4 linked regions of the Rattus norvegicus genome follow. The protein of the gene in region 1 purifies or fractionates together with the protein of each later gene. This does not show direct contact. Links are inferred from orthologs where the notes say so. Each region holds a gene or a part of one and is shown on either strand. Other genes may lie near its edges.

Region 1 (4,625 bases):
TGTTAAAGTTCTTGAATTTGCCAGGCATGGTAGCACAGGCTGTAATCCCAGTACCTGGGAGGTGGAACGGGATGGTCAGAAGGTCAGGCCCAGCCTCTGCTCTATGAAACCCTGTCTTAGAAGACAAACAAAAAACCATTTGGGTGACTCACACCCGCAATCCCAGCACTGGAGGGGCAGATGCAGGACAGGCATTGCAAATTTGAGGCCAGCCTCATCTACACATTAAGTTCCAGGCCAGCCAAAGACTACTTAGAGATGCTGTTTTTAAAAAGTCCAAAACCAAAACATAAATAATACTGGGTGGAAGGACTTGTGCTTATAATCCCAGCACTCAGATGGTTGAGGCAGGACTGTTTGTCCAGGAATTCCTGGCCAGCCTGGACTATAACGGGAGTTCCAGGCCAGACATTAATACCTGTTCTCGCAATGCCATCTTCTTGCAAGGTACCGGTGAGGAGGAAATGAGTTCATTTATAAATTTAAAGTGGGAAGACTCAGCTTGGCACGATGATGATCTGTAATTCCCGCCCCGCCCCGGAAAGGAGGCAGAGACAGGAGAATCACTGCAAGCTCAAGGCCAGTCTGTTCTGTACAGCAAGACCCAGTTTCAGTAAACAAAGCAACTGTGTAAACCTTTGCGGCTAAGCTTTGAATCTGATACACCAGTTAGTTTCAATCCTGGCTAAAGAGTCTACAGCTGGGGCTTGGTGGTAGAGCTAGCCCTCAGAGTTACACAGGACTTACAGAGTTAAACTAGGACTCGTCTACTGGAACCGAAATAAGGAAACCTCCCAATATTTTCTGCTGTAGGATTCATCCTAGTGGGACCTCTTTCTCACGGATATTTCATGCAAGATACTTAATTCTGTGCCTCAGTTTCTTCCCTTGTTGAAAGAGGAGAGTATCAAGAATATCACACAGTCTGCCAGGGCAACATCAACACTCCGGAGCCTGACGATGGGGGAGGAGGAGCCGTGACGAGTTAAAGGGTTACACAGTGACTTTGAGGTCCTTGTCTCTAAAACAGCATTTGGTGGCTAAGCCCAAGGTCAATGGTAGAACACTCGTTTGCCATTCACAAGATTCTGGGTTTTTTCCCCCTAGAGCCGGAGCGTGCTAAAGGGTACTTGGCACAAAGTAGTACCTAGGACAGGGACCATTTTGTAGACCAAAGTTAATGCTTCTATGTCGGAAATTAACAAGCAAAGGCAGGAGACATCGAAGGCTAACCTTTAGACCTAAAACCCAGGGTACTCAGGGAGCCCCACTAGCCCTTCGGCATCCAGCCGGCCCCTGGCTCCGCCCCTTCCCTCCTAGCCCCGCCCATACGCTCCAGTCCCGGCCTACGCTAGTCTCGCGTATTTTCAGCGCGCGCGAGCTCTTCAACTGGGGCCGGCGGTTGGTCGGGCGAAGCCATCTTCCACGTGACGTAGGGGGAACGTAAAGCCTACGAGACCACACTGTTCTTCATTTTTCAGCATTTCGGATCTAGACCCTCTCACTCCTGTATTATTTTCCTCTGTTCTGCACGCCGAAGGGCCTGCTAGTATCCGAGCCGCGTCGAGGATAGAGCGTCTCTGGCGACTCTCGGAGAGCTCCCCTCCTGACAGGAAGCAATTGGGAGAGGCCGAAGGCGGGCGAGGGCGGGAGGCGGCCCTAGCGCCATTTTGTGGGCACGAAGCGGTAGCTCGGCTGTTGTTGGGTTCCTTTCCGTCTTCGATCCTTCGTTGTGCTTCCTAGCAGCGGCCCAGTGGGTGAGTTGCTCGCCGAGGACGGCTTGCGTGCTTCGGGCGCTGCTTTGGGGAGACCTGAGACGACCTGCACCGCTGGAAGGGAGCTATGGAGCGGGGCCTAGTTGGCCTCGCGCCACCGCGTCGTTAGGGCCTAGCGCGGGCGGCAGCCGGAGCGGGGCGCCGGGCCTGCTGGGCTGTGAAGCCGCGGGCGGAAGTCTGTCGCGGCCCCGGCGCCCCAGCAGTGCTAGTCCTTAAAGGTTCTCGCATTTGAGAATTAACCGTTTTCACTATGGGACTTGGACCCACGCGGCCCCACCCGGGGCCTAGTTGAAAGGGCGGGGGTGGGGGAGAAATCAACGTTGTCTGTCGCGCATGGCCTTCTGGGAAGTGGCGGCCTACCTCAAGGAGTATCAGTCGTTGCTCCCTTGACGCCCAAGTTTAGCCAGACCTTTCCGAAAATGAGGAATAGAACTGCGGGGTCTCTGTTCTGAACGTCGGTTTTCGTGCTCCACCGGCACGGTCAAGATTTAGCCAATTGAATGCATTGCTAATTTCTTACACTTAAAGCACGTGCTAAGCCCGATTTAGGCTCTCAGGCTTTAGAATTAATGAAATGAGTTCAGAATAGTCGAAAAATACTGTAGACTGTAATCTGTGCACTCCAGGTAAGAACAGTGTTTGCCAGTGGGGAAAAAATGGGGACAGATACTTAGTTCTTAACACCTTGTTTTTGTCTGGCTTTGTAACCAACAGGCCACATGGTAACACTGTTGCAACTTTAGCACCGGAAGCATATAGTAAGGCCTGAGAAAATGGGTGAACTGTGGCGGGGGTGGGGGGATGGGGGCAGCATCACACCACCACTGGCTTTCTCTGTGTAGTCCTGACCGCCCCGGAACTCTGTAAACCAGGCTGGCTTCGAACTCAAAAATATGTTCCTGCCTCTGCTTCAAAAGTGCTGAGGTTAAAGGTGTGGGTTACTATGCTCGGCAAAAATCACATTTTTTTGTTTTAGAAAACATTTTTTCCTCGATCACCTCACCCCCCCCCCCCCAGGGATGACGAAACATTTTTTGGTGGTGCTCTTTTCAGGAAATGGGAAAAAAATAAAGTGGTGTGATAGTAACTAAGTATAAAAAAGATAATTGCTCTGATATTCTTGATCATTTCTTTTTCCTTTAAGAGATTTAAGCAAAGATGTCTGAATATATTCGGGTAACAGAAGATGAGAATGATGAGCCCATTGAAATACCATCAGAAGACGATGGGACAGTGTTGCTGTCCACAGTTACAGCCCAGTTTCCAGGGGCGTGTGGCCTGCGCTACCGGAATCCAGTGTCTCAGTGTATGAGAGGTGTCCGACTGGTGGAAGGAATTCTGCATGCCCCAGATGCTGGCTGGGGCAATCTGGTCTATGTTGTCAACTATCCCAAAGGTTGGTTAATCACTTTGGTTTTGCCATATTACTGGCTATGGTTAGATATGTATGCCATCCTAAGTGAGGCTATAATACCTGGGCATCCATGTTTGCTGGAGAATCCCTGAGGGTTTGGCCTTCCTTGGAAGAATGTCCCCTAGGATCCTGCCCTTTTCACAAACTTTGCTTAGACTAGTCTGGCAGGTCAGCAGTCTAAATAAGTGAAAATTGAAAAGCAGGATTCTTTTTTGAGGAGCATCTATTTAAATGTTAAGCCATCAGAACATAGTCATTGCCAATTTTAGGTGGTTAAAACTAAATGCCTTAAAGATCTGTTTTGTAAAAGAATTTGGCTTAGCCAGTTTTCCTCGAGGCTTTTTTCTTTTTAAGACATATGTGAGCACAGTCTCTGTCTTCACACACCAGAAGAGGGCATGGGAGCCTATTACAGATGGTTTGAGCCACCATGTGGTTGCTAGGAATTAAACTCAAGACCTCTAAAAGAGCAGTCAATGTTAACAGCTGAGCTATCCCTCCAGTTCCTCTCCCCCCCCCCCCCCCCCGACCCAGGGGGACCAAACCCAGGGCCTTGTGCTTCCTAGGCAAGCGCTCTATCACTGAGCTAAATCCCCAACCCCTCTTTTTTGGTTTCTTAAAACAGGATTTCTCCATGGTTAAACTTGATAGCTAAGGTTGACCTTGAACTCAGATCTGCCAAGTGCTGGGTTTAAAGATGTCACCACTGCCTGGCTTTTTCTTGCAGCTGTCTCATCTTTGTCTCATCATTTTAAGATTTATGTTTATTAACATTGTGTTGTATGTGCACCTTGGCACTCTGTACCTGATACAGAATGACATCCGACCTTCTGAAGCTAAAGCTGTATGGTTGTGAGCTACTGTGTGGGTGCTGACATCCAAACCCTGATCCTCAGAAGAGCAACAGCACCAGTGTTCTTTTTTTTTTTTTTTTTCTTTTCTTTTTTTCCCGGAGCGGGGGACCGAACCGAACCCAGGGCCTTGCGGTTACTAGGCAAGCGCTCTACCACTGAGCTAAATCCCCAACCCCAGCATCAGTGTTCTTAATCTCTTTTTTTCCCTCCTCAAAAAATATCAGTTGCACTAGCCCAAATTTTGAGTTCCTACAGAACTAAAGATTTTCTCTGTTTCTTACTACTGATATTCTTGAAAGTATGAGAAAACTGGGTCTGGTGGTGTACATCTTTGATTCCAGCATTCAAGGGGGCAGAGAGACAAGTGGATCTCAGAAATTGAGGACAGCCAGGACTACAAAAGAGACCCTGTGTTGGGGTTGGGATATGAATGCATGTGAGTTAGTAAATGGTTATTTTTACTATGGTGGTACTGTAACAGTCCTTCCTGTACCTGTAATCCCAACATTTGGGGCTAAAACAAGGATTGTGGATTTGAGGCCAGGCTGGGGTATGGAATGAGTTCAAGACCCGACTGATTTG
Region 2 (3,825 bases), on another chromosome or scaffold:
GATTTATTTTTTATTTTTAACTGGATCTCATGTTGCTTACTTGTCTCATTGCTGAGATAAATGCCGGGCAGAAGCAACTTAGGCAGGAAGAAGGAGTACTCAGGCTCACAGTTTGAGGTACGATCCAAGCGGGAAAGGCATGGTAGCAGGAACATAAGGTGACCGCTGGTGCTCAGTTCCCCTTCTATGTACAGCACAGGGCTCTTCCTGTAGAATGTTGCTGTCCCAGATGATTGTTTCCTAGGTGATTCTTGGTCCTGTCAAACTGAGTGGAGATGAGCTGCTGTGAATATAGCAGGTCTCTGCCCTCCCGTGCACTTGTTTTATAGCTCTTCAGATTGCTTTGAGATTGCTCAAGGACTGCTCGCAGGAGCAGGAGGTAGGGCTGAGTACAAATCTGTGAGAAAACATGGCGGAGCTGGAGGATCCAGCTTGGTGCTGGCAGCTGCTGGTTTAGTTTCTGCACAGTGAGTTCCCCAGGGATTGACTCTTGCCTCTGTTCCTCAGGAAATCCACAGGAAAGTGATGTCACAAAACTTCACCAACTGCCACACCAAGATCCGCCACGTGGATGCTCACGCAACTCTGAATGACGGGGTGGTGGTCCAAGTGATGGGGCTGCTGTCCAACAACAACCAGGCTCTGCGGAGGTTCATGCAGACCTTTGTCCTTGCGCCTGAGGTATGTCGCATGATGGCTGTTGGCTCTGTACTGATGGAGTATGCAAAGACTAACAGCTGTGTGAATTCTAGATTCCTGGCAGCTCAGGGTTATAGGTGTGGCTTTGTCCTCTTGTCCTAGAGCTGTGGTGTCCTTACTGGTCCAGGAAGATTACTGTTGGAAAGTATCTTCCATCTAAACAGTTCAAATGAAACTTTGTATCCCTTCATCTGGCATCCTAAGGACAAGGAATTCATTCTCTCTCTCTCTCTCTCTCTCTCTCTCTCTCTCTCTCTCTCTCTCTCTCGGAATTTTGCTTCATAATCATTCTGTTGTTACCTCATTCAGAAAATACTGCCCAACATAACTCACTCAGTAACCATATCTGAGTTTCAGAAGGTACGCCAGCCTTGTTTTCCACAGTAGTTTGTTTTTCTTTCTTTCTTTTTTTCTTTCTTTTTTTTTTTTTTTTCTTTTCAGAGCTGGAGACTGAACCCAGGGCTTTGTGCTTGCTAGGCAAGGGCTCTACCACTGAGCTAAATCCCCAACCGTAGTTTGTTTTTCTTGATCCGAGAGTCTGTATATAACTGCCCATATAACGATCTGTTGTGTTCGTCTGGTTGTGTCTTGTTCCCTGTCATTTGTAGTCCCTTCCTCCTTTGGTTTGCTTGGCATTGACAGTTCTGAAGAGCAGTCACATACACGTTCTTCCACTCATCCGTAGTGACCATGACCCTTTTGTGTGTCTCTGGTTCCCTTAGGTTATATGCTCAGGTCTTGCCATTGTGACTAACCTTTGGACCCTGTATAAATGTGCTGCTCTTTATCAGTTTTGCATACTGTCATTCTTTTTTGTTTGAGGTTCTTGGCTGAATGGTGACAGGTGGGAATGTCTGTTATCATCCACCACCCTGTATTCATTCATTGGCTTTGTCTTATAAGGATTCCATCATTCTAGTATATTTAGTGAGTTATGATTCATTAGTAACTGTTTAGCATATATCCCTCATGTCCTGGGGCTAGTCAGTTGGAAACCCTCCATGCTATTCTGTTTTGGTGTGGGCATGGCATGGTGTATGTCCTTGTGCTGACCCTGTCCCTGTTCAAGCCCCATTTGGGAATTAGCTGTTTGTTCCATTCGCGATGCTTCTCTGTAGTAAGGTTTCTGAAGGTACCACAGGGAGATGATGAGGATGACATCTGCTGTGCCTTCTTCAGAAAGAAGGGACAGGAAGCTGATAGGTACAGAATCAGCTCATAAGGAATTAATTTTTAAAAATCCTATTTAGGATTGTAAAATTACTATCATTATCTTTAAAAAAAATTTTGGATTTTTTTTTTCCTTCGGAGCTGGGGACCAAACCCAGGGCCTTGCGCTTGCTAGTAGGCAAGCGCTTTACCACTGAACCAAATCCCCAACCCCTAGGATGTTTTTGTTTTGAGATAGAACCTCATTATGTAGCTCAGACTGTCCTAGAAATCACAGTGACCTCCTTTGTCAGCCTCATAAGTGCTAGAATTTCAGATATTCTAGCACCACCATTGAGGGTGTAGGCAGGATTTAGAGTAAAATTCCAGCTTTAAAATAAATGAATGAATGAATAAATGAATGAATGAATATTTTTGTTTTTGTGTGTATGGGTTTTTTGTCTGCATGCATGTAGTGCCTCCAGAGTCCACAAGAGGATAGTGGATTCCCTGGAACTGGAGATACAGATGGCAGTGAGCCACCATGTGGGTGTCAGGAATTGGGTCTCGGTCCCGGCAAGAGCAGCCAGTGCTCTAAACCACCGAGCCATCTCTCCAGCCCGGTAACTCCACCTTTTGAGAAGCTGAGTCAGGAGGTTTGCAAGCTTTAGGCCAGCCCACAGTAAACCAAGAGCTATCTTGAAGGAGGAAGAGGAAGGAAGAAGAAAGACTTGATCACAAGAAGGAGGAGGTGGGAAGGAAGAAGAGAAAAAAGGAGAGGAGGAGGGAGGAAGAGGAGGAGGACAATGACTACTTGTTAACTTCTCCATATACGAGATTTTACAGCCTATATTATTAATTATAGACTCAGTGTCCCTCTGTCTTTCAAGGGAAGCGTTTATCTCCCTTAAGGAAATGTATTATTGTATAAACTACAGTACACAATACGTCAGTACACAAAGCACTATGGTATGTTTTGATATTCCACTTTTTGTGAATGAAGGGACAGCTTTAGAAATTTTGAACAGCTAATCAGTAAGATGATTGGATTCGGGCTTGTGTGTCTAAATCACAGGAGAGATCTGGGTTACACCACCGTGCACATTTGGATTGATACGGTTAGATTAAGAGTCAGGGCATTTTAAATTCCTGCTAGAGTTGAAACTACTGTGCCTCTGAGTGGTTGAAAATGTTCCGTCTTTTGTATCTTATAAAAGACTTTTCCTTCTTTCCTTCCTTCCTTCCTTCCTTCCTTCCTTCCCTCCTCTTCCTCCCCCTTCTCCTCTCTCTCTCTCTCTCTCTCTCTCTCTCTCTCTCTCTCTCTGTGGGTGACCATCTGGTGGTAAGGATGGGATATTTTAACAATGTCTATGAGGTTCTTTATAATTGCATACAATCGATTTCAAACAGTAGGGCATTCAGTCTTGGCGAAGACATTGGCTGTCTTGAATGCGGTTGGCACTTAGCAATCTGATTAGTAGAGGCCAATCCCTGCCGTGAAACAAGTATTTCTAGACTTGGCTAGATGTCTGCTGGGGCCAAACCCTCCCATAGCTGAGAACCACTGGTACAGTCATGTTTGTTTTTTAAAGGAAGGGTTTGCTTTGACTCACTTTTTTTTTTTTTTTTTTTTTTTTGAGGGTACAGTCCTTCATAGCAGACAGTGGGGGGATATGAGGAGGCTGGCCACATTAATTCCATCAGAAACAGGAAGCAGATAAATACTCATGGTTCAGTGTTTTATAAGTGTGAATAACTGAAAACTTGTTGCTGACATTGCAGGGCTCTGTTGCCAACAAATTCTATGTTCACAATGACATCTTCAGATACCAAGATGAGGTCTTCGGTGGCTTTGTCACAGAGCCTCAAGAGGGTAAGTGTGAAGCTGTTGTCATGGTTACTTGTGTGGCATAAGAGAAGGTTCTTGTTACACTGTATTTTATGAATCACCAGTGTAAGGGGGTTTACAGGGATTTT
Region 3 (4,619 bases), on another chromosome or scaffold:
ATTGACTTTAACCTCTAATAAACTAGCTAAACCAAGTTCCTTTCATAACAATTTTCATTCAGAAAATTACACTATCTAAAATATGTCTGGTCCCATGACCAAAAATAAGTTCTTACAACAAACACCATAATAAACTAACACTCTACACTCAACACTAATCTAATGTTAAAAAGAGCTTACCTTTAACTTGCAGTACTTTGCTAAACAGCAATATGAGGAAGTAGTTAAGATGGCTGAGTAGAATCCTCAAAGGTCTACTCTGAACTACAATACTAAATATAGGCAAAGTTAACACTTTGGAAATACTTCTAATTTCCACCTTTTAAGATGGGCTTAAGTTATTTGAAGGTCTCCAGGAAGAAAATGTGAATTTTACAACATATATTCAGCAACCTACTTTCAGTACCTAGACTACTCAACTTTAAAGTCTAATACTAAATCATGTCGCCAGAAGCTGCCATACCTCACTGCTCAGCAACAAACAGGACTACATACCTGAGAAGAACTGAACAATTTCTTCCTTGCTACATCCAAAAGGGAGTCCTCTAAGCCGTACAAAGCCATCATTGGCCGTGTCAGGACTATTGGGACCAGTATGCTTCAACACCCAATCCATTTCAACGTTGTTTGACTTGAATACTGAAAGAGGTGCTTAGAATTAGTCAATTAAGTTAGAGAACAAAGTCCAGATTTCCTGGGTTTTAGATAACTAGGAAGAGCTGCCATAAACTCCCTTAGATGACCATTTCCATGCGGTCAAATACCTAAAATTCAGAAGGGGTAAGACCTCTATGTGTTTAAACATTTACTGTTACTAGGGCAATGTAAATCAAACCTTCAACATATCTGTGTCCCATAGTTTCTCTGTCTTTTTTCAAGGCCAATTTGACTTCATCTTCTGATTCAAGTTCAACAAAAGCCTCGCCACTCGGTCTGCCTTCTCTGGTGTAGATGAAACGAATACCTTGAGCCCCATTTTGAATTTTGCAGTCTGAAAAGAAAACAATGCTTAATACAGAATTTAAAACCACCTCTGGGTGATACAGATGAGATGCATATTCCTGTCATCATTAAAAAAAAAAAAAAAAAAACCCACTCCTAAAGACTAAACTGATCACTCACCATCAAATTACCTGGTATATAGGATATATTCCTAATCCATCAAGGTACCTTAATACTCAAAAACAGTTCAAATGAAGCTACTGCCTTGCCTCTAAGTATCCACTAACCATCTCTGCACAATGTCTCAGAATAACCTCATCTGGGCCTGGTGACCTCACAGCATTTTCTGGGTGGGGTACCATGTCAGCTCTCCTCTATCAGCAGCCACATAACTGCTCACTCAAATCCAAACTCCAGCTCAATACTCACCTGAAAGGGCATCAATGTAAACAACTAAAGGCTCCAAACTGCACAGCTCAAGTCAAACCCGATGGCAACTGCCCCCTGCCATTGCTTCCAGTATACTTGAGTCTTGTTTTACAGGTCGTTTTCTGTTACCACAGCTAAATTCAGACAGTAAGGTCAACACTACAGGTACCTTTTTACGAAACTTGTCAATGTTTTTGAAATACACCTCTCTTCTCTTACAACAGTGGGAATAAGATTCTGATAGAAATTATTCAGAAAGCCTACACATAGTGTAAAAATAAGTAAGATTCTACAGTGACAAAACTTTCTTGGGTTTCAGGGTTCTCAGTTGTAAAGGGATCCAGTTTTTTAATTAACTAGACCTAGAGCATGAATTCAAGGACCAAATCCTAATCAGGAAAAATGAACTTTTCCAAAGCAGAATGCCTCTTTTCAAGTGAATATATGTAAGGAAGTGCAGTAGCGCTTCAAAGGGGAAATTACTATCACTTGTCTGTACTGCTCCATTTGTTTTTCAAGACCAGGAAAGAAATCATATCTTTCCCTACTGAATTCTTTCAGAGACAATTCCAAAATGCACAGATTGGTGCTTAGAGACCGAAAAGATTCTGCAGGGCCACCAGCATCCCAATGGGAGAAGGGGAGGGGGGCGGGAGGAGGGGGCATTTCGCAATTACCATTGCGTAACAGCGGCTGGCAGAGCGCGAGCCCGGGAACCGCTGGTGCCTGCGACTCGCTAGGGGGCGCCCAGAGGTCCGCCCCGCCCCGCCCCGCCCCGCCCGGCCCAGCCGCGGGCCCCCACTGACAACTCCCGCCTCAACTCACCAGAAAAAAACCGCTGCACTTCATCCGCGGAGCAGGACCAGGGCAAGCCCCGGACCTTCACCACGAAGCCCTCTCCGCCTTCTGCTCCCAGCATCATCGTCTCTTCGCTGGTCCTGGCGTCGAAACAGACTGCAGGGCTGCGGGGTGGGAGGGGGGTGGGGTTGTTAGGAACACGTCTAAGAAACAGTCATTTAAATGGCCCTCCCACTTCAAGGCGCCCTGCGGGGTTCGACCGGGCGCCGCTACGGGAGCCCCGCCCGGTACGCTGCCTTGACCCCGGAGACTCAAGCATGCAACCCGGCCTCGGCTAGCGACCCGATCCCCAACACCACTCTGTGCGCTCAGTGCTGAGGAGGGTCTAGGCTAAGAAAACCCTGGCCTACAGCCATGGTGGAGACAAGGAAATGGCGGCCGCCGCTTCCGCTCCGCCTCCTCAGACATCTCACACAATAGAAGCGGCGCGGCCTGCAGGCCTAGGCGGCGCTGCCACGCCGGCGAGACACTCGCGGTTTCCAGGGGTAGCCTGTGCTTGCCACGGCCCCCCAGGTTTTAACCTAAGTTCAGCGACAAGCAATCGTCACCAAAATAGGCGTCCGTGGAGGGCTCTGGTAGCAAACGAAGACAGAACACCACTCACCTCCACACAAAGCCTCGGCGTGGCTGAGGAAAAATGATAGGAGAGCGCCTGCGCAGCCTAAATAAAGCCCTCCGAGCAAACTCTGCGCACGCGCACCCCGTGGCCGGCCCCGCCCCACTCGCGTCACACAAAGATTAAACGCATGCGTATTAAGAAAACCTGCGCTCTCTCCCGCTAGCCCATTATTACACGCATGCGTTTGGGCTCCGGCCCCTTCATAAACTGACCGAGGGGTTTTTTTCTTCCTGCGCCTGCGCCCTTTTGCAATTATTGCGCTTGGCGTCTCAGCGGTTTATCGTTTTACTTAAAGCGCATGCGTCTGCCTTCAAACCGTTCTCTAGACCTACCCGCCAGAGTGGGGGAGGGGAATGGCGATAATCAGCTCCCAGCAGGGACTGGGTAATAATCCAGAGTTCAGGTTTACAGGGGCGGTTGTTCTACCCTTAATCCGCAGCTTTTCTTCCGCGTTCCTGTCAGTTTTGAAAGACAGCAGGAGGAAAAGGAAGCCATGCCCTTTCTCCCTAGAACGCGTAGGAGCTGGAAGGCCGGTTTATGCCGAGCCTCCTCTCCGTACCGCCCCGCCCCTGCGCCCAAATCCCAGATCACCGTGGGGTGCCTAGGACCAGTCCCCTTACCTGCCCGCTTTAGGGGATCAGTCCCCGACCCACATGGGCTGTCAGTGCCCGAGCTAGTCCTGTATCCCACTTTGCCTAACGAACTCGCAGTCTGCGAACCCCTCGCCTTCCCAAGGCCGCGGGCCCTCGCACGAGAAGCGCTCTGTGTGCTGCGCCTCGCGAGTGAAGGCTGAGACTACCAGGTGCGCGGAGGACGCAACCCCAGAGCGCGGCGCCCGACCGATGTACCTCTCCCAGGTGGAGACACCTCCGGGTCATCTCGTGTGCACTTACAGAGATAAATGGGTAAAAAGTTAGAATTCCAGCAACACAGCAGAATACGGATGATGTTCGGAGTCTCTCCGGATTTGACTGACCCACCCCTGCCAGACCTGGTAGAAATTAACAATAGTGTTATTGTTTTGGTGGTGCCACAGTGGGTACCACAGTTGGTATGCCTCTGAATGCCATCACAAGAGGTCGCGGTCAAAATTACGTTTTTCTTTCAAGTACAATATTGAGGAGGCTAAATCCACTTTGGATAGTTTTTTTTAAGGGGGTGGTGGTCATCAAAGGAAAGGTGCAGAGACAGCATGCAGAACTTGGACCTTTTAAGTCTGCGCAAGGGTGTTAAGTAGACAGAAGCTTTCAGCAAGAGAGCAACAGGAGCTGTGTAACATGAACCTTCAGGTGTAAGGGAAACTCCGATGAAACAGGCTGGGAGAATAGTGGGGCATGACCTCACCTGCAAAGGAGCTATCTAGAGGAGACGGAAAACACTAGCTTAGCTCATCAAAAGTGAGACTCCCAAGTCTCCAGGCCAGTAGGTGGGTGAAAAGCAAGACTACAACCCCAGCCCAGGAGAACTACAACTTCAAGACCTGCCGGGGCAACAGAGTGTGTTCGAGGCGGCCAGGGAAGCTTAGTGAAAGCCTGTCTCAAGAAAGATGAGAGAAATCTTAGTGGTAGAATGCTTGCTTAGCATGTACATTACCCCCTACATGGTCTTGAGACATGAAATAGATTACCAAAAATGTACTCTTCACTAGTTAATTCACACCATTTGAGAGCTCTAGTCTTGTTAGATGACCTAAGACCAGTGGTTTATGATTACATATATGGGGGAGTGATGCATTCGAGAGAGGCTTTGGGCAAATCAATCCTACCACTTG
Region 4 (3,825 bases), on another chromosome or scaffold:
TAGCAAGGCTTTGTGCTTGAGTGGCTTCCCACAGAGAGCACTGAGGTAGATCGGGGAGAGCCCACCATGCCACCATCCAGGGAGCTTATGGGACTTGAGCTGCTGACAGAGGAGTAGCCTGAGGTCGTGACATCCTTGCCCGGATCTCCCCTGTTGCAGGGAAGGGGCCAGGGAGCTGAGGCTGGAGGTGCCTGGGTGCCTGGTGTTGGGTGGCTCTTGTCCTCTGGCCACACCTCCTCATCACTGGACTCCTGGCAGCAGTGTTCTTCTGGGTTCAGGTAGACCACAGTGACGTCAAGGAGTCCACTGGGAGCTGTAACTGTGAAAAATTTGGGGTACCTTTATAGCATTATATAGTATTAGACTAGTAATACTATTATATAGTATAGAACTAGTGACCCTATAGCTGCTCAGGACTGGGTGGCCCAGGGTTTTGCTTAGGTAAGAACCCTGTCTGTGAGCTTGACTCTCTCAAGCTGGGAATGGTCCTCTCCCCTTCCTTGATAACTCATGGGGCACCAGAAAGTGATGTCACCCAACTCACTTTATCTGAGCGGACACAAAAGCAAGCAATTGGAAATTACAAGTGAAACTTTCAGAAGTCAAGTCTTCCTGGCCAGAACATAGGGAAGCAGTTTACACACACACACACACACACACACACACACACACACACACACACACACACACACGGGAAACTAAGTGTTCTATGCACAACTCCAGACAGGGTCTGCCTAAGTGAGGCCCTTCAACTGACAAAGACCCAGACAGAGATGGATACAGGTTAGACATCCTCTCTCCCTGTTGGGTGGGGAAAACAGTGTGTCGGGTTCACACATTTCTCCTGGTTGTAGTGCCAGGTGGCCCTGGGGTCACATGTCACCTGTATGTCCCATCCCTTCCCCAGCAGCACTCACCATCCCCCTCCTTCTCTCCTTCGCTCTCCTGGTCTCCCTCATAGCCAGAGCAGCAGTCCAGGCTCCAGTCCAGAAGGCTGCCTAGCAATGTCTCCTCCTGGTTCGATAGTTCTGCGGTGGGTGTGGTAACAAAGCTTCCCCTGTCCTCCTGAAGGCTGTTCTCTCGCTTCCTGCAAGGTAGGGAGAGTCCATGAAACCCTGGTCACAGATGGCACAGAGCCGATGTGGTGCTCTCTACATGTGCCTTACCGCCTATATGCCCCTGGCTCTCATCTTGTGTTCGACAAAATACCCATGAAGCTAGAGCAGATGGGAGCCCTCAAGGGCAAGGGATCAACTGGAAGAAGAAGTGGGTGAGGCCAGGCCTCGGTCTAGGCCAGCTTTGGGCCCCGGGCCCTTCTTGTAACTGGCAGAAAGACTCCACCACCCTTCAGGGTTCTAGACGCACCAGATAGGGACAGTGTGGGTGTCTGACTGCACAGTCTGTCTTTGGGGAAGGTCATCAAACCTGTCTACCTGGGGTCACGGCTGGAGAACTACAGTGCAGTCTGCCTCTGGGAGAGCCTACCACACTCACCAGGCCTTCTGCTGCTGTCTCTGGGAGGGAATGTGGCTGTCCCATGTTACCTTGGAGGTCACTATGAAGGACCTTCTAGAGAGCAGGTCTAACACTGAAATTAGGCCCTTTAGAGGATCAGTGATGTGATACACCGCTAGTGAGTATACGTGTCTGTCCGGGATGTCCCCAAGGGTAACCCTGTCCCCAAAAGTCAAGAGGACCAAATACATAGCATGATGTAAGCTGTGGCCCCCTTGGAAGGACCCAGATCTCCCCACTCTACAGAGAGGAAGATGCTGTGCTGTTTCTCTTGTAGCAGGTATGAAAGGGGGTGAACCCCACACTGCTGCCTCCTCACATCTCCTCGAGACCCCAGTGCCTGAAGCCAAGGACCCACCCACCACAGAACACTCATGGCTCATATGCCCGGTACCACCCAGCCACTCAGTGCCCAGGTTTGCTCAGGAGCACACAGGGCACTGAGGCACACGAGGCAGGGCTAGCCCAGGGGGAGCCTGAGCGTTGCAGGACCCATAGTTCAGTGAGTGGGTGAGGTTGCTATGCTGGGAGGTGTGGTCAGAGCGCTGGTCTGTGAGAGGAAGGACAGACCATGCTATACAGGGCCAAGGGCAGAGACCAGGCGGGCAGCTATCAAAGACATTACTTAGGTCAACCCAACTACCATCTGTGCCATATCCTGGGGCAGAGAGGCCAGGTGAATAACGGCGTAGGTGGGGAGAGACCTGAGCAGGAGACAGACAGGCTCGGGGGTGGGGCGGGGCGGGAAGCATCGATGTTCAGGGACAGGCCAAGGCCAAAGCCCCTGGGTTAAACCTGGGAGCCGCTGAACAAGCTGCCTTAGGAAGTCTGTACACATGGTTACTGTGTCAAGAAGGAAACTCAGCCCTGACATCCTTGAGAGAGAGAGTGGCACAGTTGCAGACGGACAGGGCAGACTCACCGTTTGCTTCTCCTCCCAGAGGGTGAGCTGAGGAAGGTGTGGATCTCCCCGGAGCTAGGGAAAGACGGGGGCTCTGGGCTCTCCTGTTTCACCCCTAATGCACTGCACAGTTCGGCATAGCTCAGTACCTGTAGGGAGGCCAGAGTGAAGAACCACACAGCGACCCGGGCACCCCCACCAGGAGCCTAAGTGACAGAGAGAGGCCGTACCTCTTCCTGGCTGATCTCCTCATAGCACTTATCCTCAAACCGCTGCTTCACGGCCGTCAGAGAGACTTGTCTGTAGTCTTTGGGTGCATCATCATGGAAACTGGAAAGGGACAGAGACGCTGACATGTGACCCGCAGAGAGGACAGCAAGCTTTCAAAACCGACCCCACTACTAAGGACACACAGGAAGACGGGCAGCTCCTCAGTGGGTTAGCTTCCCGAGAGACAGAGACACGAACAACCAGAGAACACGCACAAGAGCGTTGATCCCACCTCGGAGCAGTCAGAGGTGGAGGTGTCTCACGTATCCGCCAATGGTCAGACGTACAAAGGTCCATTCAAACAGTGAGCTTTACTCAAGCACTGACACACGTAGAAATACGACCCTGAGATGGGACGGCAGACTCACACAGCGGGACACTGCCTGCCTGCCTCATTCGGTGATGTCCCGAATGGGCAAAGCCACAGATGTCAAGCAATGAATGGATGCTGGGGCCAAAGGAGTTGGAAGATTGCCAAGCGACAGCTAAAGAATGGAGTTTCCAGGGATGGAGAGGTGGCTCAGTGGTTAAGAGCCCTGACTGCCCTTCCAGACAGAGGTCCTGAGTTCAAATCCCAGCAACCACATGGTGGCTCACAACCATCTGTAATGGGATCCAATGCCCTCTTCTGGTGTGTCTGAAGACAGCGGCAGTGTACTCATATATAATAAATAAATAAATCTTTAAAAAAAAATGGGGGTTTCCTTTGGGGGGTGGCAAGAATGTTCTAAAATTGATTGCACAATTCTGAATACACTAGAAGAATTTAAATGATCAACTATTTTATTCCTTTGGTTTTTCGAGACAGGATTTCTCTGTGTAGCCCTGGCTATCCTCAAACTCAGAGGGATCTGCCTGCTGGGTTTAAAGGCGTGCACCACCACTGAAAACTTAAAACAACTAGAGTGGGGCGAGTATATACTTAGCTTACATAAAGGCCTGAGATCTATCCCTAGCACCAGAAAACACACACACACACACACACACACACACACACACACACACACACACACACCATACACACACACACCACATCTCTCTTCTCACATACACACTCACACACAAACATTCTCACACACACTCACACCTCACCAAAATCTTTCACACACACACACACACACACACACACACACACACAC

Evidence for each region.
Region 2: the proteins of Tardbp (region 1) and G3bp1 purify together in Homo sapiens (affinity purification with mass spectrometry; 3 studies listed by BioGRID, with this or other methods). This does not show direct contact. The link is inferred for Rattus norvegicus from reciprocal best matches to the Homo sapiens genes TARDBP and G3BP1.
Region 3: the proteins of Tardbp (region 1) and Hnrnph1 purify together in Homo sapiens (affinity purification with western blotting; 3 studies listed by BioGRID and IntAct, with this or other methods). This does not show direct contact. The link is inferred for Rattus norvegicus from reciprocal best matches to the Homo sapiens genes TARDBP and HNRNPH1.
Region 4: the proteins of Tardbp (region 1) and Ccnf purify together in Homo sapiens (affinity purification with western blotting; 3 studies listed by BioGRID, with this or other methods). This does not show direct contact. The link is inferred for Rattus norvegicus from reciprocal best matches to the Homo sapiens genes TARDBP and CCNF.

Annotation. Positions count from the first base shown.
Region 1 is NC_086023.1:164,342,224-164,346,848, reverse strand, and holds the start of Tardbp (TAR DNA-binding protein 43), read left to right. Parts: upstream 1-1,644; 5' UTR 1,645-1,757; intron 1,758-1,888; exon of another isoform or gene 1,889-2,401; intron 2,402-2,919; 5' UTR 2,920-2,933; coding exon 2,934-3,171; intron 3,172-4,625. UniProt on the Homo sapiens protein: RNA-binding protein that is involved in various steps of RNA biogenesis and processing.
Region 2 is NC_086028.1:40,104,351-40,108,175, forward strand, and holds part of G3bp1 (ras GTPase-activating protein-binding protein 1), read left to right. Parts: intron 1-507; coding exon 508-681; intron 682-3,630; coding exon 3,631-3,721; intron 3,722-3,825. UniProt on the Homo sapiens protein: Protein involved in various processes, such as stress granule formation and innate immunity. Plays an essential role in stress granule formation.
Region 3 is NC_086028.1:35,192,910-35,197,528, reverse strand, and holds the start of Hnrnph1 (heterogeneous nuclear ribonucleoprotein H), read right to left. Parts: upstream 2,897-4,619; 5' UTR 2,834-2,896; exon of another isoform or gene 2,751-2,833; intron 2,334-2,750; 5' UTR 2,294-2,333; coding exon 2,197-2,293; intron 992-2,196; coding exon 836-991; intron 640-835; coding exon 496-639; intron 1-495. UniProt on the Homo sapiens protein: This protein is a component of the heterogeneous nuclear ribonucleoprotein (hnRNP) complexes which provide the substrate for the processing events that pre-mRNAs undergo before becoming functional, translatable mRNAs in the cytoplasm.
Region 4 is NC_086028.1:13,759,499-13,763,323, forward strand, and holds part of Ccnf (cyclin-F), read right to left. Parts: intron 2,747-3,825; coding exon 2,647-2,746; intron 2,566-2,646; coding exon 2,438-2,565; intron 1,088-2,437; coding exon 918-1,087; intron 320-917; coding exon 1-319. UniProt on the Homo sapiens protein: Substrate recognition component of a SCF (SKP1-CUL1-F-box protein) E3 ubiquitin-protein ligase complex which mediates the ubiquitination and subsequent proteasomal degradation of target proteins.